6 linked regions of the Sus scrofa genome follow. The protein of the gene in region 1 interacts with the protein of each later gene in a biochemical or structural test. Links are inferred from orthologs where the notes say so. Each region holds a gene or a part of one and is shown in the gene's direction. Other genes may lie near its edges.

The links.
Region 2: of the proteins of histone H1.5 (region 1) and CCNA1, one has a biochemical effect on the other in vitro, tested with the Homo sapiens proteins (2 studies listed by BioGRID). The link is inferred for Sus scrofa from reciprocal best matches to the Homo sapiens genes H1-5 and CCNA1.
Region 3: of the proteins of histone H1.5 (region 1) and CCNE1, one has a biochemical effect on the other in vitro, tested with the Homo sapiens proteins (4 studies listed by BioGRID). The link is inferred for Sus scrofa from reciprocal best matches to the Homo sapiens genes H1-5 and CCNE1.
Region 4: of the proteins of histone H1.5 (region 1) and CCNB1, one has a biochemical effect on the other in vitro, tested with the Homo sapiens proteins (2 studies listed by BioGRID). The link is inferred for Sus scrofa from reciprocal best matches to the Homo sapiens genes H1-5 and CCNB1.
Region 5: of the proteins of histone H1.5 (region 1) and PRKCD, one has a biochemical effect on the other in vitro, tested with the Homo sapiens proteins (2 studies listed by BioGRID). The link is inferred for Sus scrofa from reciprocal best matches to the Homo sapiens genes H1-5 and PRKCD.
Region 6: the proteins of histone H1.5 (region 1) and histone PARylation factor 1 form a complex in vitro, tested with the Homo sapiens proteins (2 studies listed by BioGRID). The link is inferred for Sus scrofa from reciprocal best matches to the Homo sapiens genes H1-5 and HPF1.

Annotation. Positions count from the first base shown.
Region 1 is NC_010449.5:21,621,306-21,623,963, reverse strand, and holds histone H1.5, read left to right. Parts: upstream 1-1,317; 5' UTR 1,318-1,367; coding exon 1,368-2,048; 3' UTR 2,049-2,101; downstream 2,102-2,658. UniProt on the Homo sapiens protein: Histone H1 protein binds to linker DNA between nucleosomes forming the macromolecular structure known as the chromatin fiber. Histones H1 are necessary for the condensation of nucleosome chains into higher-order structured fibers.
Region 2 is NC_010453.5:12,394,616-12,398,949, forward strand, and holds the start of CCNA1 (cyclin-A1), read left to right. Parts: upstream 1-1,533; 5' UTR 1,534-1,710; exon of another isoform or gene 1,711-1,874; intron 1,875-2,165; 5' UTR 2,166-2,189; coding exon 2,190-2,354; intron 2,355-4,334. UniProt on the Homo sapiens protein: May be involved in the control of the cell cycle at the G1/S (start) and G2/M (mitosis) transitions. May primarily function in the control of the germline meiotic cell cycle and additionally in the control of mitotic cell cycle in some somatic cells.
Region 3 is NC_010448.4:39,918,084-39,922,502, forward strand, and holds the start of CCNE1 (G1/S-specific cyclin-E1), read left to right. Parts: upstream 1-1,457; 5' UTR 1,458-1,712; intron 1,713-2,197; 5' UTR 2,198-2,226; coding exon 2,227-2,249; intron 2,250-2,361; coding exon 2,362-2,449; intron 2,450-2,666; coding exon 2,667-2,735; intron 2,736-4,419. UniProt on the Homo sapiens protein: Essential for the control of the cell cycle at the G1/S (start) transition.
Region 4 is NC_010458.4:47,337,034-47,341,219, forward strand, and holds the start of CCNB1 (G2/mitotic-specific cyclin-B1), read left to right. Parts: upstream 1-1,205; 5' UTR 1,206-1,337; coding exon 1,338-1,358; intron 1,359-1,966; coding exon 1,967-2,137; intron 2,138-2,230; coding exon 2,231-2,407; intron 2,408-4,186. UniProt on the Homo sapiens protein: Essential for the control of the cell cycle at the G2/M (mitosis) transition.
Region 5 is NC_010455.5:35,313,614-35,317,299, forward strand, and holds part of PRKCD (protein kinase C delta type), read left to right. Parts: intron 1-108; coding exon 109-205; intron 206-386; coding exon of another isoform or gene 387-389; coding exon 390-487; intron 488-640; coding exon 641-814; intron 815-1,077; coding exon 1,078-1,169; intron 1,170-1,737; coding exon 1,738-1,800; intron 1,801-2,797; coding exon 2,798-2,936; intron 2,937-3,085; coding exon 3,086-3,274; intron 3,275-3,686.
Region 6 is NC_010456.5:20,017,128-20,020,813, forward strand, and holds part of histone PARylation factor 1, read left to right. Parts: intron 1-245; coding exon 246-405; intron 406-2,152; coding exon 2,153-2,342; intron 2,343-3,577; coding exon 3,578-3,676; intron 3,677-3,686. UniProt on the Homo sapiens protein: Cofactor for serine ADP-ribosylation that confers serine specificity on PARP1 and PARP2 and plays a key role in DNA damage response.

The DNA of each region.
Region 1 (2,658 bases):
CTAGAGTAGGCTGTAATTTCAATTCCAGGAGCTCCTGGGGTTGAAGTGTGTTGGTTCTCCGTTTTTCAAAGGGAAGAACCAACTGCTGGTTGCATTAGGTATCCTAAACATCACAACCAAGCTCAAAATCCTGTCCATATCTCGCACCTCTCCTCAGTAAATAGAAAAATTCACTGTCCCTTCAAACTTTTGGTCATTGCCTCAGTTTTCTTGAATGTTAATGTTTTCCTAATTTCTTCTAAACTTCTATAACCTCCAGTCCCTTAATGCTCAACCCATACTTCTCATAGTAGGCAATTATTTCACTGAAGCATATAGGTCTATCTTAAATACATAAAAATTCCCACACTGATGTCCTACAAAAGAGAATGTTCCTGACCATGGAAATTTGTTAAATGTAGATGGAGTTAAGGAGTTTGAGTGAGAGCACTGGGAAAAGCGCCTTGAAAGATAGACAAAATCCCATGCCATCTAAAACAGTTTGAGGTTTTGAGGGCTCCTGGAAACCCTTGAATAATTTTTATCAGGTATCAGAGTTTTTTTTAAAAATACATTATCTAGGCTAAGCAATTTTTGTTCATACTTTAATGGATTTGCCAAGGAGAAAAGGCATCTCAGTCAAAAACATACTAAATTTGTTTGAATTTGAATGCAGTTCATTCCATCCTGAAGCCAAAGCAAATTCTATTCCTCCTGGAAGAAGTCACTCTGGCAACAGTACTATTACGTCTCTGAAGACATGGGCATGTGGAAACTCCTTGAGAGGCAAAACCGGTTTTTAAAGAAAGATGTATATGGTTAATTTGGGGCTGTATGTAACCAGCCACCCTGCGCCTGTGTTACTTCCTGCAGTTGGAAACCAAGTTTATGGCAAAACCAAGGAACCTAGTGTCTTTCCTACTGCAAGAATCAAAGGCCGAATTTAGGGACAAATCCTTTTTAAAAACATTCGCTTGATACTTATTAGGAATTTACTGTAACATCCAACTAACTAGCTCGATGCCTTGAGCCCGGTGGATTCCTATGAAAAGCTGAAGGGATTTTTTAAAATATCTTTCATCAGTTGCGCGTAATTCATTAAAACACAAACAAGTATGTGAACCTGGAGGCTATTTTCCTCCTTTGGAGTTTCAAAGGATAAAATTCTGTACGATTTTTTTTAGCATTTAATCAAATTTGGGGGACTAACAAACACAGTTTGGAAGTCCAACCACGAGAGGCGGCTGCCCTAGGGCGGTGGATTGGACGCTCCACCAATCACAGGGCAGCACCGGCTTATATAAGCCCCAGGCCCCAGCAAGGCAGCATTGCAAAACTTGCTCTTCGGATCTTGAATCCTACTTCCTCTGGCAGTTTCTCCCATCGCCATGTCGGAAACCGCTCCTGCTGAGACGGCTGCCCCGGCGCCGGTGGAGAAATCCCCTGCTAAGAAGAAGGCAACAAAGAAGCCTGCGAGCGGAGGGGCGGCCAAGCGGAAGGCAACTGGCCCCCCAGTTTCTGAGCTGATCACTAAGGCCGTGGCCGCCTCCAAAGAGCGCAATGGCCTCTCTTTGGCTGCGCTCAAGAAGGCGCTGGCAGCGGGAGGCTACGATGTGGAGAAGAACAACAGCCGCATCAAGCTGGGTCTCAAGAGCCTGGTGAGCAAGGGCACCCTGGTGCAGACCAAGGGCACCGGTGCTTCTGGCTCCTTTAAGCTCAATAAGAAGGCAGCCACTGGGGAAGCCAAGCCCAAAACGAAGAAGGCTGGGGCCGCTAAGGCAAAGAAGCCTGCCGGGTCCACCCCTAAGAAGCCAAAGAAGGCTGCGGGGGCCAAGAAAGCTGTGAAGAAGACGCCCAAGAAGGCCAAGAAACCCGCGGCTGCTGGCGTCAAAAAGGTGGCCAAGAGCCCTAAGAAGGCGAAGGCCGCCGCCAAGCCGAAAAAGGCTGCCAAGAGCCCCGCTAAGCCCAAGGCTGTGAAGCCTAAGGCCGCCAAGCCCAAAGCCGCAAAGCCTAAGGCAGCAAAACCCAAAGCTGCAAAGGCCAAGAAGGCGGCTCCCAAGAAGAAGTAGGAAGTTGGCGCTCGAGGTAGCAAACCCCCAAAGGCTCTTTTCAGAGCCACCCAGAGACCTCTGAAAACAGCTGTGCACTAAATATCAACTGTCCTCTTATATTCTTACTTTGGTTCAGGCATTCAACTTTCTTCCTCCGAGAAAGTTTACAAAATACGAAGGATGTAATAACATGGCTGAAACTTTAAAAAGCCCGCGCCGTGTTCTGATAGGTCCCTGATTCAAAAAACAATAACTACGCCCACACCCGCCACTTCGGGCGCCGCCGCGCGAGATCTGATCCGTATGAGTGTCCTAAAAGCCAAAGGTCACACGAACGCGGGATCCTTAAGCCCCAAGCTCAAAAACCGGGGTGCACCAGGGATCCAACCCAACACGCATCTCTCGTGTGTACTATTTGTTTTTGGGTTCGTTGAGCCACAAGGGGGAGGGAGAAGTTCCCGATTTTAAGATGGCTCTTGGCTCAACTTCCGCAAACCACCGGTAACAGTGACAATTGGATTGACACGAGCCAGCTCTTCCACAGAAAAAGTAGGTGGCTCTGAAAAGAGCCTTTGGTTTAGAAGGCTTTGCTACGGAAACCTTACTTGCCCTTGGCCTTGTGGTGGCT
Region 2 (4,334 bases), on another chromosome or scaffold:
TTTTCTTGGGGGTAATATTAACAATTACTTCCATTCAAAATAAGGAAGGTGGTAACTAATCATTTCTTTCTTTCTTTTTTGCTTTTTAGGGCTGCACTAGCGGCATATGGAGGTTCCCAGGCTAGGGGTCGAATAGGAGCTGTAGCTGCAGGCCTATACCACAGCCACATCAGATTCAAGCCCCGTCTTCCATCTACACCAGCAGCTCATGGCAACGCTGGATCCTTAACCCAAAGAGCGGAGGCCAGGGATCAAACCGCAATTTCCTGGTTCCTAGTCGGATTCCTTTCCGCTGCACCACGAGGGGAACTTTGATAACTGATCAGCTAATCATTTCTTAAAATGCTCATTTAAATGGTTTTGGTGGTCTGCTTAGGGATGAGCATTTAAAAAAATAAAAGCAGACAAAAGCAGCAACGTTTTATATGCAATGTGTATATGTGTGTGCACACAGATACACACACATGTGCACACAAATATTTTCCAAAAAATCACAACGTTAAAGACTCTTTTACCTGCCTTGCCAGTTAACTTCTGCGGGTGGACCCCCATCCAAGGATTTTCCTCCCCACGTGGCGAGGCCACCTGCCCCGAACCCAGTTCCGAGCCTCATTACGTTCTCCCTCAACGTCCCAAGCCCCATCGCTGCCACCCGCGTTCCTTCCTCTTCCTGGGCCACTATCTCGGCGTTCCTGGACCCGCCTCAGGCCGTGACTGCCGGAACCCGCCAGGGAAGACCTCTCGTGGGGACTGTCCGCACCACGTGCGACCCTAAAACCCCAGATCTCCTCTCCCACCCTGCCGGGCCAAATGCACCAGAACCCGGGCCGACCAGGAGCAACCTCTGGTGCGCAAGGACTCAAAATGAGCGAGGACACGCCGCCACCACGGATTAGGAAGCCCCAGCCCAAACCAGGGGCCAACCCGCAGCTATGTGGCCTCTCTCTGGGAGAAGGTGTAGGTGTGTGGGCCAGCGAAGGGGATCTAGCCGCGCTCTGGGGCGGGCGCGGTCAAGGCGCCACGGCCTGCGCAGCCCCGAGGGCCCCGCGTCGCTCTCCCGAGCCAAGGTTCTCAGGAGCGGGCCGAGGAAAAGACGTTGGCGGGAGGAGTTAGTGGCTGTTGGGAGAACGGGTTCAAGGAAACAGTCCCTTCCAAACCCTGGCCATCGCGGGGTGGGCCTTCTTCCTCCCTGCCAGACCCGGGAGGCCAGCCAGAAAGGGCGCGGGTGCCCGCGGCGACCCGCTCGCCCGGGCACGCCCGGGCAGGGCAGCGCAGGAAGAGCCCGGGGCGGCTGCCGGTTGGTCCCTCCCAGCCCTGAACGCCCAGGGGTCGCGGTGCGTCCGCCCCGAGCGTGTCAGGTGAGGAGGTCGCCATAGCGATGCGACCCGGATCGCGCACGCCGGCCGCGGTTGGCATGGAAACGGCCCCCCCGTGAGGCCCGAGAGCGCCGCTGATTGGCCGATTCAACAGACGCGGGGGGCGGGGGAGTTGAAAATAATTAGAGCTGAGGAGCTGGCAGCCCAGGCTGAGATCCCGGCGCCAAGGCTGGAATCTATTAACACCTCGGTCCCCTTCCGCCTCGCCCCGCCCCGCCCCCGCCCCCTTAGGCTGCCCCTCATTCCCAATCCTGGTGTGCACTTGCCAATTGTTCGAGACATATATAAAGACATAAAGCTGAGACGAGCGAGGCCCGCTGTGGGCTTCAAGCAGGTTTTGGGGTCTTATGTCTTGCGGGAGGAGGGCCGCGGAAGAGCACGCTTCTTGTCACTTGGGAAGGGGATATATTTTCCCACAGTGATGTATCCTGGGTCGACTGCAGGCAGAGGGATGGTGGGGTGATGGATAAGTCTCATAGCCGGAAAAGACATAGACCTGTAGGTTTGGACTCCCAATTAACCTGGGGCTTAGTGTCCGGCCGTGGAGGTCTGCCTTCCTCCTTCCAGCCGTCAGCCTGGTTTGGGAAGAAAGCCTGGAGAGATTCAAATCCCTGTTTTGGTTCAAAGTAGCTTTGATCGCTTGCACCGTGGCTCAGGCCTTTTCAACCCTAATAACTGCAGTGAAGATCATATGTTTCAGTGCTCTCTCTTCTGGGGATTTGCTGCATTCTGGAGCCCGTGCTGGAAGAGGTTGACTAACCAGCATGTCTGTTTCTCCTTCCCTGATAGCAGTAGCCTGTGGAGACTGAGGCTATGCATCTCAGTAGCTCCAAGAGCGGGAGAGTGCTGGCTCCAGTGTCCGGAGGTCCTGATGCCTGTCAGATGATGTCCAGAGCCCAGCTCAGCCAGGATCCACCACAAAGAACAGTACTAGGGGTGCTAACCGAGAATGGGCAATACAGGAGGACCTGTGGCCAGGTAACGACTGAGAAGAGCTGGGACGGTTACCTGTTGAGAAGGGCTCTCATGTCATGGTGAGAGGTGGGTTTCTCTGGCAGTTTTACCTACAGACGTCCCCTGAGTATTTCAACCCTGGAATCTGGACTAGAGGGACCTTGATTTATTAAAGATTTCTTTCTTGGGTCCTTTTTCTAGCTAGAAATATTGAATACTTTTCTGTTATTTTTCCGATATCAAGGAAAGAAACCTAGGAACTGTTTAGAGTAAGTATGCGTAAAGTCATTTAAGTTCTGGGCTAAAAGGAAATGAGAATGCTCCAAAATAAACTGTGGAACTGGGGTTCCCACAGATTGGAGCGGTATCCACACTGATCTCGGCTGTGCCTGAGGCATCCTGGGTAACTTTTAAGTTCATTGGTGATGGTGTAGAATCAGGATTGGATCAGCCTATCCTAGATTACTTCAAAATGCGTGCTTTGAAAGTAGACTTCTCTCCAGGACTGACTAAGGACAGTTGGGCAAACAGCTCATGGGCCATCTGACATTAGTTGCTTGCACTTAACGGATCAGAGATACTTCCTTTAACTGATTGTAAACAAATTCAGAGACTTATAATGTAAAAGAGGAGTTTGGATCCTTAAGAATGAATTTTGAGATTAAACAAAAAAAATCTAAGTCTGTTATTAGACAAAGCTTCTCATAACCATGCCTTAAGTCTGTAGTGTACATATGTAGTGGAATGACATTGGCAACCATACAGTGACATAGGTGGGCAGGTGTTCTTTCCATTTTATATGTGAGCAAATTTGAGAGGTTTAAAAAAGACCAAAAAAGAAAAGAAATTCATGATGGAGACCAGATCAGAAGCCTCTCCTCATCTACAGACTATTCAAGTCATCTGTTTTGGTGACATCTGATTAGTGAGAGAAAAATACCCAAAGTAATGTTTCAAGCGTTGGAAAAAACAGAGTAAAGGTGGTTTTAACAAACTTAATGTGCTTAGTGGTGTTTACTTCTTTAAACTTGAAGTTGAAAACCTCTTACGAATTGGCAGTTACACCTACGCTGACTGAGCTCACTTTAAATTCACAACTGTCAATTAAGCTCTGTGTTGCCTGGCGATACCTCTACATTTCCCGACTCTATTCCTCTGCACCCTTCTTATAGAAACCTCCTATTTTATACATTCCCTTCTCTTTTTATCCTTGAAAGCCTCCATCTCCATCCTTACTCTCAGTTAATAACTATATCCTATTTTCCTAAAAATATAGATGTAACCGGAAGAGAATTTCCACATGGTCCCGTGTACCTACCATATACTCTGCCACCCCCTTCCCGCTACGTAACCCATGTGTCCCTGCTCTTATGCAAGGGGAACGCCCCGTGTGTGCAGCACACCTTATGCCCTTTTGCCTTTTTAAGGATATCATTCCATCACCTTGTCTTTCTCTTTTCCACTGGATCAAACCCAGAAGCATGAAAATATACTGTGATTTTTTTTTTTTTTCATTCCTAAAAACCTTGCAACTACAAAGCTCTTTGCAGCAACTGTCCCATTTATGGCAGTATTTCTTGAGGGTTTGTCTATGTAAATTCCATCAGGATGAGGGTTTGGGACATTGGGTTTACTGCTGTACTTCCAGTGTTTAGAACAGTGCCTGGCCAGGGTAGCATGCGAGGATTTATTGAACAAATACTGTGTCTCAGATTCTTCTCTTGTTCTCTTTGACTCAATTCTTAATCAGTTCTCAAGCCTTTCCTTACTTGACCAGTTGGCAGCATTTGACATTGTTGATCATTCTTCACTCCTTGAAATAGTTTCTTCTCACGCAGTCTGGAGAACAGGGCCTGGTTTCCAACCTAGCTCACTGGCTGTACCTCCTCGGTGGTCCTTCCTCATCCGCTCGCTAAAAGTTAGAGTGTGCCAGGGCTTCGTATTTGAGCTGAATCTCCACTCACTCCCATAGCAATCTCTTCCAGTCTCCTGGCATTAAATACC
Region 3 (4,419 bases), on another chromosome or scaffold:
ATGCCCACCAGTAAGACCCAGGCTCTAATTTTAAGATAGTCACGGAAGGAGGGGGCCCAAGACTGAGACTACATCAGGAAGGGCCTTAGGAGTGTTTAGGAGCTCTCTGCCACATGCTTATTCTAGAGGCTTAATACAGTAGTGCTTTCAAGTCACGATTGTTCAGTACTACCTCTCTCCATAGCCTATAAACTCCACAAGGGCTTGGTGATTGTGTTTTTCAAGCATTCCTTCACAAATAAGATTTAAGGGCCTCCCTTCCTCCAGGCACTATGCCAAGACCTGGACAGGCAAAGTAGGGAAAGGAGCACCAAACACAGAAAGGAGCAAGAGACTTAATGGTGGCAAGTGCTGTGAAGGAACCACAGCAGGGCAATGGGGTAGACAGGAACTCCTGGGGAGAGGGGTGCTCTAGATTAAATCAGTGGTCATTGACGTTCTCCGGAAGGACAAGCGGCCCCAAGGGGCCAGAGCTGGGAACAACAAACTCCAAGGCCCTGAGATGAGAAAGGACAGAGGGTGATCAGGGGAGCCGTCAGGGAAGGGGGTTGAAGGGGAGGGCTGAGGGGGGCGAAGGCCACTCCATGCGGAGCCCTGGAAGGCAGGGAGCGTGGATTTGACTTTAAGGGCCAAAACACTTTATCGCTGGAGAGAACTGCGTGGAATTCCAGCATCAGAAAGGGCTTCTGCCAGGGATGAATCTGTGGGGAAGAGGCACACGTGGAGGGTGCTCGAATATTAGCTGAATGAATGCATGCAAAGAATCACGCATGAATGGCCAGTTGGGCTGACACGCGACTAGGAGTAACAGCTGTTCTACAGGGGTACCCAGACCTAGCGGCCTAAGGCCCTGGTTCTAGGCCCTGTGACCAGGCGCTGTGACCTTGGGCACATCCCCGCCCCAACTCAGGGCCCGGAACCCTGCGTCTCTCGGGGGCGGGGAGGACGTGCAAGGAGCGACAGTGCGCGCGCGCGCGCGCGGCAGGCCGATGGATGCGGAGTCTTCTGGCCCGACCCCCGCCGGGGCCCGAACCCTCGTCGCCCGCGGTGTTTACATTCCACCCGCGCGGGCCACGCGGCTTTTTGCCGCTCCGGCGCCGCTCGGCTCCGCCCCCGGAGCCCCGCGACCCGCCCCTCCGCGCGCTCGCGCCAGACCTCCCTCGCGGCCGGCCGGCCGGCGCGTCCCCGCCCCCTCGCGCGCGCCGGCCGGCCCCCGCGTCCCGCCCCGCGCGGGCTCCGCAGCTCAGGCCGCGCAGGCCCCGCCACGGCCCCCGGGCCCCGCCCCTCCGGCGCGCAGGCCCTGTCACTTAGCCCCGCCCTTCGCTGGCCCCGCCCCCGGAGGTGCCGAGCGCCTGGGCGGGCCTGCGCCGCGCGGGGCGGTCCTGAGGGCGGTGGCGGGGCGGGCCCGGGCCCTCGGGCGGCTGCTGAGGGGCTCCGAGCCGGCCGGGGCGGGGCGGAGGGTGGCGGGAGGGCGCGAGGGCGGGCCGGGGGCCGGTTCCGCGCGCTGGGATTTTTAAATGTCCCGCTCTTAGCCGGGCGCAGGAGCAGCCGGCTCGGCCGCCAGCGCGGTGTAGGGGGCAGGCGCGGATCCCGCCACCGCCGCGCGCTCGGCCCGCCGCCGCCTCCCGCCTCCCGGCTTCCCGCTCGCCCCTGCCTCCTGCGTCCGGCCTCGGCTCGTGCCGCCTGCCTGCCTGCCGCGGAGACGGCTTCGGGTAAGGACCCCGCCGCGGGCTGCCGGACGGCGCGGCGGGCAAGGACTCCCGGAGCGCCCGGGTCGGGCCGGGCCGGGCCGGGCCGGGCCGGGGTGGGGGTGGGGGTGGGGCGAGATCGGGTCGCCGGGTCCCCAGAGGCGTCAGCGCGGGGTGCCCCGGTAGGGCGGCTCAGAGACAGGCTACAGGGAGGTGTTGAGGGGAAGACTGAGGCAGCCTGGGCCCCGAGGGAGGCGATGGGCCGGCGAGGGTTTCGGGGGGCGTCGAGGGCCCCCCCACCCCGGGTTCCGACCCGGCATCGCCGGTCGCTGGCGCCGCCGCGGGTGACAGGCCACCCCGGGCCCATCGGCCATTTTCCCGACCGGCCCGGGAGGCTCCCGCCGCCGCCGCCGCCCGCGCGGGAGGGGGAGGGGTACCAGGGACGGGCCGGCGGGGCCCTGGCCCCCTCCGCCGCCGGTCCTCAGCCCACTGCCTTTTCGTGCCCCCAGGCCTGAGGTCTGAACTTGTGCCCAGCGCCATGCCGAGGGAGAAGAAGGAAAGGTGAGTGGCCTGGCCGCTGCGGTAGAGGGAAAGGTGTGCAGTGGTGGGGGAGGGGTGGGCCGAGATTTGGGGAGAACTCACCCTCACCTCTGTGCCCCCCCTGGCTTTGCAGGGATGCGAAGGAACCTGACACTATGAAAGAGGAAAGTGGCACTGATGTCTCTGTTCGCTCCAGGAAAAGGAAGGCAAATGTGGCCGTTGTGAGTACAAAGGAGACAGGTGGGGGAGGATTCCCCCCTTCTCATCATACCTGGGTTCTGCCCACCTATTTATTGATAGGGGGTCACGGGGGAATGCGTTTGGCAGAAATGGTGCTCACATAACCTAACCTACTGTCTTTTTCTTCTCTATGTGTGTGTTTTTGTCTTTGGACTGTGTGGTGTGTTTCCTTGGGTTGTGGGGGTTGTTTTACGTCAGTTTTTGCAAGATCCAGATGAAGATGTGGCCAAAATTGACAGAACTGTGAGAAGCCAGTGTGGCAATCAGGTAGGTACACTTACTGATTGGGCCTAAATGGAGGCTTTCCTTTTGGGGGGTCAAATGTAGTCTCTTATTCCCTTGGCTGGCTCCTGCTGAAGGCTTGTTCTCTGACTATGGCCATATGACGGTGCCCGTCAGTGGGCACTGACCGCTGCCAGCCTTGGGATTCCAGGAAGGTGTATGTTCCTGTCTGACATCCCTGAGATGACAAATATGCGCCCATGTCTGGAAGAACCAGAATGGACATCACATAACTCAGTCCTCTCCTTTTGCCCTTGAGGAAACTGAGACTCGGTTAGAGGAAGAAAGTAACCCAGAGTCCTGTGCAAGCCAGGGGCGGAGTCTGTGCTTCAGCCTAGTCTGCAGGCTGGTGAACTGCAGGGAAGGCTCCTGACACAGAACTCTGGGTCACTGTGATGATGGTGGTTTGCGTGTGCTCCGAAGCACCTTCTCCCTCATCCACACTTGTGTTTTCTCGTCATGGTGCTTAGGAATTGCCCTTCCCTGTTCCCACCCCCGTTGGGTCATGTTTCAGACTTTTTTTCCCCTTTCTGAACGTTCTTCCAGCTCATCCAGCAATTACCTGTAGTGATCCCTGCTGTCTGGTACCTGACCTGGCCTCCACCAGAGCATTGGTGGGACATTCCCTGTAAGGATAATGCACCTCTCAAGCACACTTTTTAAATTGGCTGGTCCTTTTCTCTTGCCCTTCCTTTGTGGACTTCCCGCCATATTTCTTGCATGCTCATGGTATCGTCATAATATCAGAAGTTCCTAGCAGAAAAGGCTTGTATTATCTCTCTACCTCCAGAAATGGCTGGAGAATGTAGTTATGGCTCCAGTAGGGGAAGCAGCCTATCTCCAGACTAGCTGATCAGGCTTTCTAATGCAATAACAGATAAAAACTGAGCAGGAATATTAGGGTTGAGCCAAGGATAGTGGTCCCCATGACATTAGCAGTGACAGCACTCCACTTTGTAGGGCAGTGAACAACAGCCATAGTGCTGGGTCTGGAAGAGTAAGGAGCTTCAAGGCCGTGGGCTGCATTGTTTGCAAAACAGTTGTTACTGCACACAGGACCCTAGTAATTAGTATTTCTGGGGAGGTTCTACTGAGTGTTGAACAAGGGATTCTTGATTTCCCTGCTGTGTTAGAAGAAGTACTTCACTTTAGGAAAGGGAATAAGGTAGTGCCTTCCAAGTTCTTTTTTCTTCTTTCTCTCCTGAAAGACTTCAGACCAGGGAGTTCCCATCATGGTGCAGTGGAAATAAATCTGACTAGCTAGTATCCATGAGGATGCAGGTTCGATCCCTGGCCTCGCTCAGTGGGTTAAGGATCCAGCATTGCCGTGAGCTGTGGTGCAGGTCGAAGATGCAGGTCGGATCTGATGTGGCTGTGGCTGTGGTGTAGGCCGGCGGCTGTAGCTCCAATTCGACCCCTAGCCTGGGAACTTCCATATGCCACGAGTGCAGCCCTAAAAAGCAAAAAGAGAGAGAGACTGCAGACCAAGCAAGTTGATGTTTATGGATGTCTTCTTTGTGAAATTCAAGATTACCTTCCCAGCTGTGTTTCGAATTGAAATTTTTAACTGAGGTTGAAGCAAAGCTGTCCCTCTTGACTTCTTGGAGTTTGAGAATAGTTTCTGTTCTCAGAGATAAGCTGAGTGGTGCCTCGAGTGCCTAAGACAGGG
Region 4 (4,186 bases), on another chromosome or scaffold:
CTGCTCAAGCGACAAAATTAGAATACAAACTAGATTGAATAAAATGTTATAGTAAATTTACGCAGTTGCTAATTCTATTGTGATTACATTAAGAGAATATGCTTTTTTCCTTAGGAAATACACACTAAAAATTTAACAGATAAGGAGCCATGATATATATAACTTACCCTCAAATATTTAAGTGGTTTTTTGTTTGTTTGTTTGTTTGTTTTTTTAAGGGCCGCACGTGCAGCATATGTAAGTTCCCAGGCTAGGGGTTGAATCAAAGTCACATCTGCAGCCCACACCAGAGCTCAGGGCAACTGAGCAAGGTCAGGGATGGAAACTGAATCCTCATGGATACCAGTCAGGTTTGTTACTGCTGAGCCACAACAGGTATTTCCAAGAAAAAAAATTTATATACAGTTATACATAGATCTATATATAAGATTAAGTAAACCATAAAACAAATGGGGTAAAAATGTTAAGGATATTTGAATCTGGATAAAGGCTCTATGTGTGTTCCTTGTTACATTTTTGTCTGAAACTTTTGTAAGTTTGAAATTATTTTCAAGTAAAAAACTAAAAGAAAAAGATTGGCTTTGGGAAACAACTTGATTGAAGTAATCTGGCAGGTTAAGAGGCAGCCTGGCTTGCAAAATTAAGAGACAATTAGTGTGTGGAAACCTCATGGATCCAAAGAAAGTGAAGTTCAATCCCGTGTTACTAATTTGTGATCCTGGGAGTCACCCAAAGCATCTCGGAGCCTCCTTTTTATCCCAGAGTGCTGTTGGAATGAACAAACGAAAAAAGAATGTATATATAAAAGTATTTCCTGCTACAAGCCACTCTAGGAGAGGAAAGTGTGTTTAACAAGTAGGACTAAAGCCATAACTGCCCCTCACGTCAAACAAGGAGCTCCACTCTTCCTTTCCCAAGGCCGCTGTGACTTGTCTCAGCTAACTTTAGTCGCTTACAAGTTCACTGCTCCAGGTGTGGGGCAAAGAGAACCCTCCCTTCATCAGGTGGCAGTAGCGGCTGCCCCAGGGCGCAGGCGCCGAGTCAGACCACGTGACGGCCTGGCCCCGCCCCCGCCCGAACTTCTTCGCGGGATCGCCTTGGAAACGCATTTTCGGAGGAACTGGCCGCCGCCAATGGGAAGTGAGCGAGTGCCACGAACAGGCCAATAAGGAGGGAGCGGTGCGGGGTTTAAACCCGAGGCGGGGCCGGATTCCTCCCGGCGTGCTGCGGAGGAACGGCTGTTAGCTAGTGGTGGCTTCAAGGTCCCCGGCTGGTCGGGGCTCCAGTGCTCTGCTTCTCCCCTCTGAGCTGCTGCCTGGCCTGGTACAGAGGAAGTCATGGCGCTCCGGATCACCAGGGTGAGCTGCTGCGGTTGGTGAACAAACGCGGCTCTCCTGACTCCTGGGTCTCCTCTCCCTGTTTCCCCTGCTGGAGTTCCCCCACGGTGGGAGCGAATTTGGAGAGGAGGAAGGCGGTCGGTGGGCCCCTAACATACTGGGAGAGTTTGGGGGGCAGACGGACGGAGAGAGAAAGGTGCAAAAGAGAAGCGGATGGGCCTTGGACTAATTGGGGGGAGGGGGCAGATGGAGGGTAGACCGGAAACCTTTTGTAAAAGGTGTTGGAGGACCCGAGTGGGCTCCCACCAATTGCGCAATCTTCTTCCCTGAGGGAAAGGGAAGGTGCCTGCAATTGAAGGCTTTTTCGATTTCCATGGTATTTTAGGTCCGGCGGGGACTGAGCACGTAATCCCTCAATAGGTGAACGGAGAGGTTCCAGGAGAAAACTGACTTGTCATAAGCTTAGCGTAGACCCTGGAACCCCGGTTTCCCCTGGGAACCCATTCACAGTCGGCTTTCCTTCTGAGGGCCGCAGTTTTTTTTGTTGTTTTTTTTTTTTGCCCCGCTTTAACCCTTGACTTATTTTAACGTGGCGGGGCCAACTCCCAGACTCGTCTTGCTTCTTACAGAACACGAAAATTAATGCTGAAAATAAGGCGAAGATCAGTATGGCAGGCGCAAAGCGCGTGCCTGTGGCCTCTGCTGCAACCTCTAAGCCCGGACTGAGGCCAAGAACTGCTCTTGGAGACATCGGTAACAAAGTCAGTGAACAGCCACAGGCCAAACTGCCTCTGAAAAAGGTAACTATGCTGATTCAACTATTCTGTGAGTGTCTCCCTTCCAGCTGTGGCTCTTGGTGGAGAAACAATCCATTCTCTCCTTTTCATCCACAGGAAGCAAAAACTTTAGCTGCTGGAAAAGTTGTTGCTAAAAAACTACCGAAACCTCTGGAAAAGGCTCCTGTACCTGTATTAGAGCCCCAGCCAGAGAGGGAGCCCGAGCCTGAACTGGAGCCTGAACCAGAACCTGAGCCTGTTAAAGGAGAGAAACTTTCCCCTGAACCTATTTTGGTAAACTTTCTGGACCATTTTAGAGTCTGTTGATTGTTTGTTTCCTTTCATTTTATTCAAGTATGGAATAGCATTTGAACAAATAGTAGTAATAGTAACATTTATATAGTACTTAACAGGAAGTAGGTTCTGCTAAGCACTGTACATGCATTAGCTCACGTTAATAGTATACTCAGCACTGGTATTCTTCTAGTCACATCTAGTCAATGACAGAATTGGGTTCAAACCCAGCCTATCTGGCTTCAGAAACTGTGCTTTTAATTGCTTTGTTTTACTACCCCTCCTTTGTTTACGGTATTGAGTGGTAGCTGCAGGGACCAAAGATTTTGCTGTCTTTAAGGTACCAGTCATCTCTGACCAGAATATGTTGACTGAAGCACAGATTGTTCTCTTTAAGTCCTTTTTGTTTACTCCCTAATGTGGCCACCAAATAATAATAAGCCAACACCGAAATATATAAATGTGTAAAGCAGAAAATGTAGCTCTTCAGAGAGCAGGGTAAGAAGATGGCTTAACACTTGGCCTCAACACCAAGAACTTTTTATTAAATATCAGATATTAAATGTATCTTCTTCTGTGAGGGAAAAATATTTCATCTAGAAGAGGCTGCTTGGCTGAAATTGCAATGAATTGCATTCTTAAGTACTAATTTTTAATATCTCCTTAAAGCTGGTTGGGAAATGGTCTGTTAAAGTCATTCAGCCTCATTGTATGTCTAAGGGAAGGGGATGTGACTGAGGCTGTGGATTTAATATTGACCTTCTGGACACAGCACAGAAAACTGTAGCATGCACAGTCTTTGTTTTATGGGATTTTTTTTGTGGTTTTCATTTGTTCCTTTTTTTTTTCCCCCACTCTTTAATTGACCATACCTCATGACCTGAGCTTTCATTTAAAAGTCCCATAGTGATTCTAACCTTTGCTTCCCCACTTACAAGAATACTTTTCCCACCCTCTTTCATGTAACTGATAACCTTTTCATCCTTCATAACAGCTCAAGCATCAACACCCAAAGCTTTCTTTAACTTCCCCCATCCCCATCTTAACTTCCCCCACCCTACTCTTGTTCCCAGAATCAGTCTCTTTACTTCATTTACTTCTTTGTTTTGTTTTTTGTTTTTTGTCTTTTGTCTTTTTGCCATTTCTTGGGCCACTCCCGCGGCATATGGAAGTTCCCAGGCTAGGGGTCTAATCGGAGCTGAAGCCACTGGCCTACACCAGGGCCACAGCAACGCTGGATCTGAGCCGCATCTGCAACCTACACCACAGCTCACAGCAACACCGGATCGTTAACCCACTGAGCAAGGGCAGGGATCGAACCCTCAACCTCATGGTTCCTAGTCAGATTCGTTAACCACTGAGCCTCGACGGGAACTCCCATTTACTTTTTCTAAATTCAAAGCTTCTTGAGGACATCATAAAGCCAGTGTCTAGCACAGGGCTTGATTTGAAGAAAGTGCTCAGTCAATGTTTGGACCACAGGGTAACTGGAGCTTGAGGAAAATGGTTTGTGATAACAAGTCAGTTAATCCTTAGTAGTCAGAACAGAACTTGTGTTCTTTTGGGCAGTGGGAAACAGTCCATAATTTGAAATAAAGACTAAGGATTAACATATTCACTTGGATTAACTTCACATGACATCGCTAAACAGATCCATTACTTACCAGTTTTATTTGGAGGAAAGTCTTGAATATGAATTTGCTTCCTCTCTGTTGTAACTGTTTAGCTGCTGCCTCTAAATTGGCTCAGCCTAAGTTGGCATTTTACTTTTCCTATTAT
Region 5 (3,686 bases), on another chromosome or scaffold:
CTTGTTGTCCCCATTGGTATTGAAGGTGGAGTTAAGGATGGTTGGGTGGGGTCCTCTGTCTGGGCTGGGGGTTCTGACCATGGTCTGACCCTCTACCCCCTCTTCCAGAGACCTGTCCGAAAGTCAGAGTCGGAGGTTGCAGAGACGGTTGGGATCTATCAGAATTTCGAGAAGAAGCCAGGAGTCTCTGGAGATGATGTCTCAGGTGAAGCTGTGCCCACACCTTCCAGGAAAGCCCCTGCTTCTGATGTGGCACGCGTCCCAGTTTCCCTGCACAGTCCAGGGAGAACTGAGAGGAGGCCCACCCCGTGGGGAAGGGACACAGCAGGGGAGACCCCCTTCTTGGGTCCCAGGGCAGAAACCTGAGACTCAGTCGCCATCTCCAGCAGGCACTGGGACCTATGGCAAGATCTGGGAGAGCAGCACCAAGTGCAGCATTGACAACTTCATCTTCATCAAGGTCCTGGGCAAAGGCAGCTTCGGGAAGGTGAGGGGCCCCACATCCCTGGGGCAGGCAGCCCAAGGGACCCTGGCCCAGGAGTCCAGGAGCACCTGCCTCCCACCCTCCCTGGCTGCTCCTGGTTAGGTGAGGTGTGCGGGCCTGGCCCTCCCCTGCTCAGTGCCCCTGCCCATCCGTCAGGTGCTGCTTGCAGAGCTGAAGGGCAAGAAGGAATTCTTCGCCATCAAGGCCCTCAAGAAGGACGTGGTTCTGATCGATGATGACGTGGAGTGCACCATGGTAGAGAAGCGGGTGCTGGCGCTCGCCGGGGAGAATCCCTTTCTCACCCACCTCTTTTGCACCTTCCAGACCAAGGTACCCGTCCATCCCAGGGTCATTGCCCCTGGAACACAGCCCCCTTGAGCGGCTCAGGTCAGGGCCTTGTCTCCCACTGAGACATATCAAGGCAGGGCCCAGGCTTCCTTCTCAGACCACTTTGAGGCAGGGCTGTGTCCCTCTCCTCATTCTGCCCAGGACAGAGTTGTGCCTTGCTCCCTCTGGGGCTTGCCCCCTGTGGCCCTCAGTGAGGGAGCATCCGGCCAGTTTCTGTGCCTCCACTCACCATGCTCCCCCCGCAGGACCACCTGTTCTTCGTGATGGAGTTCCTCAACGGGGGGGACCTGATGTACCACATCCAGGACAAAGGCCGTTTCGAGCTCTACCGTGCCACGTACGCCAGGCCCTGTGGGGAGAAGAACTGTCTGCCTTCCATTCCTTCTTCCCTCCCCCTGGAGAAGCTAGCCTGCACTAGGGCTGGAGTTGGAGAGATTTGGGGTGGCCAGGGCCTTTTCCTCCCTCCTTGTGGGAAGCCAAGGGTGGTGGGTAAGCTGTGGCTGGGAACACAGCCCTTGCCGTGCAGGTCCAGTCCCCACATTGGGCCGAAGCCGGCGCAGCCTCTCAGATGGTGATCCTGCACGATGCAGGACCCTGGGGTGTGGCCCCCAGACTACCATGCACCTCTAAACTGTGTGCATATGCACATATGCATAGCTTTATAAATTCATACGCTCGCAGGACAGACAGCTGTCTCATTTGGAGCTTTTCTCTTCATAATTTTCTTTCCTGCCTTGGCTGCCAGTCCCTACTTGCCTGATACAAGATGTACTTGATCAAGCCTAGGTTGTCCGTGCAATTATTTGCAGCATTTCCTGCCCTGGGGGGTGGGGACAAGGACCCAGGGAGAAGCAGTGGCTGCTCACAGAAATCTCAGAACACGTGTGTGTCTCTCTCTCATCCAGGTTTTATGCGGCTGAGATAATCTGTGGGCTACAGTTTCTACACCAGAAAGGGATCATTTACAGGTGTGGGGGTTGGAAGTGGGGGGTGTTTAGGAGGGGAGCCCCCCCACCCCTTCATGTCCTCTGAAATGCTCTGAGTGGGGCCCAGTCCAGATATGGCCCCATCTCTGCTTGCAGTCAGTCTTTAGTTGGGTATTTGCCTAAGCCACCTACTCCATTGCTAGAATTCCTTGCGGCCCCTTAGCTGAGGCTGGCACAACCCCATGGACTGGGAATTCCTTGCCCATACCCTATGGCTTTGGCCCATACTGACTGGTATATTGTGTCTCCCTCCCTTGGAGCTGTTGGTCCCTGTCTAAAGCCCCATCCGAACATTCTGAGCATCCACAGATAGGGACTGTTTCCTTAAGTTCTCACCCCATAAACCACAGTCCCATCCTGCTGTGGATTAATATGTACCCATCAAAAAGGCCGAGGCCGACATGTGTACTGGTGGTTGATGATGCCAAGGTGTATTGTCAAGTGGAGAACCAATCCATGGGATGGTGTGTATTGGATATTAGGGTTCAGGCTTTAAAAGGTGGTGTGAGACACACATTGTAATGTGCTGTCCGTACCTGGACTCTCTCAGGAGGGCCTGGTGAGTGAGGTTGGTGGAAGATGGGCCTTGGGCTGTTTGTCTTTTCTGGTACCTGTTACCATGTGCCTAAGTTATCCACTGAAACAACTAACTACGTAAAATAGACCGGCCCCCTGCCTCTGTGGATTAGACAAACCTGAGCCCAGACACTTCCCCAGCTGACCACATGGGTGACCCTGGGCCAGTGACACATCACATCTCTGAGCCTCATTTTGGGCTTCAGAGTGTTTCCCCACAGTAGGCGGTTCACAGGAAGCACCTGTTTTTAGTACCTGTTTCCTTTTCTCTTCCTCATCCCCTTGTCCCCATGGGGCGATAAGGTCCTAGGTTTGCAGGGCTGACAGTGGGGACATGGGAGGAGGCTGCAGGGAGGATGGGAACTGGTCTCTGATGACCCCCTTTCCTGTCCCCTCCCCTCAGGGACCTCAAGCTGGACAACGTGATGCTGGACCGGGATGGCCACATCAAGATTGCTGACTTCGGCATGTGCAAGGAGAACATGCTGGGGGACAAACAGGCCAGCACCTTCTGCGGCACTCCTGACTACATCGCCCCAGAGGTGGGCGGCACCCTCTCCCCCCAGCCCCGTCCCACACCTTATCTCCACAGGGTGGGGGCAGCAACGTCCAAGCCACAGCTGGGACACTGAAGAGGCCAGCTGGGGCTCGTGCTCTGGGCCCCCCAACTCTGACACCCCCTCTGCCCCAGATCCTACAGGGCCTGAAGTACTCATTCTCTGTGGACTGGTGGTCCTTCGGAGTCCTTCTCTATGAAATGCTCATCGGTCAGTCCCCCTTCCACGGTGATGATGAGGACGAACTCTTCGAGTCCATCCGTGTGGACTCACCGTATTATCCCCGCTGGATCACTAGGGAGTCCAAGGACATCCTGGAGAAGGTGGGAGGCCCTGGGCAGGGCTGGCTGGGGCAGGGTTTGGCAGACACCAGGCTGTGGGAATGTGTCAGGGATGGCAGCCTCACTGATGCTCTGGTCCTAACACACTGAGTGGATCACTCTCTGCCACGTTCTCAGGACCTCCCGTTTGGGTTCCCTGCACTGAATCAGTCTGGCATGTGATTATGGGCTTGGGAGTGAGGAGACAGATGGACCTAAGGCCAAACGCTAAGTTTGTCTCCTTGTCTGTAAAACGAGACTAGGAGAGAACCTGTCTCAGTGTTTCGGTGAAAAAGAAAAAAAAAAACCATAAATGTGGATGCTCAGGTGGATGCTCAGGTCTATGCCCAGCAGATAGTAAACACCCAATAAATGGCCACTGCTTTTACTCACAAGTCCTACCAGCTGAGAGTCC
Region 6 (3,686 bases), on another chromosome or scaffold:
CTTGGAGAAGTGTGTTTAAAGACTTGCTGTGTGTACCTCTTGACACCTATATGTTATAAAGTGTTCTTTGCTTTTTTTTCCTTACTCCAAACAATCCCCAGATTTTACTCAGTCATACCATTTATAGAGTTTTAGAGAAAAAGCATGTCTCTCACAGATGCAGGTGAACAAAAATGAGCAATGTTGTTAAGCAAAGTTACTGCAATTACTTTTGGAGAAACAGAGTTTTGTGTGCCAATTTTCAGTGTGAAAAGCCAGTGGATGTGAAGAAGAGTAAGTCCTGTGAGGCTGACATCCCCACCGATCTTCGAAAAGAAGTAGAAAGTCATTACAGGCTTTCTCTGCCAGAAGATTTCTATCACTTCTGGAAGTTCTGTGAAGAACTCGATCCTGAAAAGCCAGCTGGTGAGTTGTTCCAGAATGTTTCTCCTGCTTCTGCCAATGGAAAAGACAGCAGACTGGACCAAGGGGCTAAACAGCTCATGGAAAAGGAACTTTTCCAAACATGTTTTGAATAAGAGAAATATAAAATAATGCTGTAATAATGTCACTGTCACCTGTTAAACTAGTAAAGGTATATCACAACATGCTTCCATGACAATTTGAAGGAAAATGGGTACATAATTTACTGTGTTGCAGGAGTTTGTAGGACTTAGTGCTGCTTCTAGGAACTTATGGATTAGGTGACCAAAAATATGTTTAATGACATTCGAACAAAAAAATAGAAAATGGCTTAAATGCTCATTGTTTACACATCTGTTCAGTGGACATTTATAGTTTTAAAAGAATGAGGCAGACTTTGAGGAAATGACAAAGGATCATTCCTGGAATGTTTTAAGTGAATAAAGTGTATAGCATATGCTACCATTGGTATTTTTAAGTTGGACACACACACACCCACACCCCCCTGTATACTTCCTATGTGCCTGTATTATCTCTGAAAAGATAGACAAAAAGCTAATAATGTTTAACAGATACTTTTCGCTGTTACCCTTTCATACTGTATAAATTTTTAGCTGAGGTGGGAGAATCACCCCCAGGTACTATGGACAGAAGTGTGTATTGGTGGGTAACTGAATTTTGGAAGTGTATCAAAATGCTTCACCTGTGCAGCAAAAGTTTTCTAAAGGTATTCGTGGATGTGTACAAACATGTATTAGCAAAGATGCTCACTGAAGCGTTGTTTAGAAGAAGATAAGAAACAATAAATGCCTATTAACAGTAGAATAGACATAGTAAAGGAACATTTCATACTATCGGAAAATATTTAGATTTTAGGACAGGATGGAGAACCACAAATCAGACTGCAGAACAGCATGGTCTCCCTTTAAAATACCTCTTTTGGGGGGAGGGGGAGGGAAATGTGTTACTACCATATACCAGGCTGTCAACTTAGTAATTTATGGCTAGTGAGATGGGTGGTTTTAGGTTTTTTGTTACTGTAAAAATTAGCATATGCTAGCCTAAGCTCCAGCTGAGCTGAATTATTTCCCCTCCAAATAGAACGTCTCCAGGCCTATTTTCACATGGTTACCTCTCCCAAGAATTTTCTTCCTCTCTCCATGCTCACCTGCCTGCCTGCAGTGCTCACCTCCCTCTCAGAGAGCATAGGGCCTGCCTGATGTTGTGCAAGTGTCCAGGTGAACAGACCTTGTGACTCTGGTTGTATTGAACAGCCAGACTTTTGAGTGGTGAAGGGACTCGTCTGGGGCTGGGGTGAGCCCCCAGGTTGTCAAAATTGATAAGCAGCTGAGGGAGAGGAAGGGGGTGAAATGATGTGCTTCTCCCTTCATCTGGATGTTGGAGACCGACAGCAACATAGTAAGGAGACGAGGTGAGCCTTTGCAGCTCTGATATACCCACAGGAACGCAAAATAGCCTTGTTTTGGCCAAAATGAGAAACAGCAGGAATGTTTGAAATGTAATCAGTGGTAGAGTTAAGAGGAAATCCTACATGTAAATGCCACTTCTTCATTGCTCTGGTTTCTTTTCCATTAAGTATTTACAACATTTTCACATGTAACTAAAGTTTTTACTTTAGAAACTCCTTTTTAAGACAGTTAGTTGCTTACAAGTATTTTCCAAATGAAAGTCATGATTTCTTAGCTGCCTCCTGAAAGCTACTGTCTAAATAAACTTACTTAATTTATAGATTCACTTTCTCTAAGCCTTGGACTTCGATTAGTGGGTCCTTATGATATCCTTGCCGGGAAACATAAAATGAAGAAAAGGTCAGCTAGCCTGAATTGTAACCTTCACTGGCGATTCTACTATGATCCTCCAGAGTTCCAGACCATTATCATCGGAGACAGTAAAACCCAATTCCACATGGGCTATTTCAGGTAAAGGGTCTCTAAAGTACAGCTGCTGTGCCTCTAACGCTGCAAGTAGATGCTCGCCGGCTTCATTCAAGGTGAAGGCACGCTTTCCCCTGGGGTGGGTACATGGGCTGCCTGCCTCTCTAACCTGCTAACCTACCTGGGGATGGGTGAACTCATTAGGCCTAACCTCACCAGCTTTTCCTCTGTGGTTGTAAATATTCTTTTCTTTTCAGGTTCAGATGAGCTTTTTTAGCTCAAGGAAGATGATTCAGAGCAGTTGGTGTGACTTAAGTTAGCCACGTGCTTCCAGGCATCCTAGAACTAGGATGTGCTTTGGAGTCAGACTGGTCTTGCTATTCATTACCTGGGTGATCCTGTGCCAGTCCTTAGTTCCTGTGACTTTGTGACTCTGTTTCCTCTCTTCCTCTAATTATACCTACCTAATAGGAATATTAGGATAAATGCAAGATGCTTAAGATGTTAGAAATAGAAGTGGTGGGGGGTTCCTTATCCACTTGTGGAGGTGCGGTCTTGACAGAGATGAGGGGATCAGGACTTGGGCAAATGTGCCTGGGGGTGTCAGGGTGCTGTGGGCACATGCAGGGCTGGGAGTGGGGGTGCATGGATCTGCTTCTGGCTTAACCGTTACCTTGTCTGAGTCACTTGGTATCTCTGTATTGGTTTCCTCAGTGGTAAACCATTTGATTAATAGATACATGAGTTGGATCCTTTCACTGCCAGGGTTTTATAATCCTTTCTGTCCTCTTTCTTCATTTTCCACCTTCTTTATTCTTTTCCACAGACTGTAGACCAAGGGTAAATATGATCATGTATAATTACACCTTCTTTTTTTGATAGACTTTATTCCCCCTTTCTTTGTATTTAGGTATAGAAGTAACTAGGTACTAAGGATCTTAATTTGGAGTTTTGTTCTGTAAATAAGATTTGTCATAGTTTTTGTTTTTTGTTTTTTTTTGTTTTTGCTGCACCCTCAGCATGTAGAAGTTACTGGGTCAGAGACTGACTCCATGCCACAGCAGTGACAATACTGAATCCTTAACCTTTTGCACCACAAGGGAACTCCTTTTTTTGCAAGGAAGGGTGATATTTGTAAGAAACTAAGAACTTATCCCTGGCACATTCATTGGCAGTTTTTTGAAACATGCAGATATAAATTGTTTATAGAGATAAAATTCTACTTTTCTGATAATGAAAAGTATGGGCAGCTAAATTTTTAATATCTTTTGCTTAAACAGGGATTCTCCTGATGAACTTCCTGTGTTTGTTGGTACAAATGAAGCAAAGAAAAATTGTGTAATTGTTCCAAATGGTGATAACGTATTTGCTGCAGTCAAGTAAGAAAAT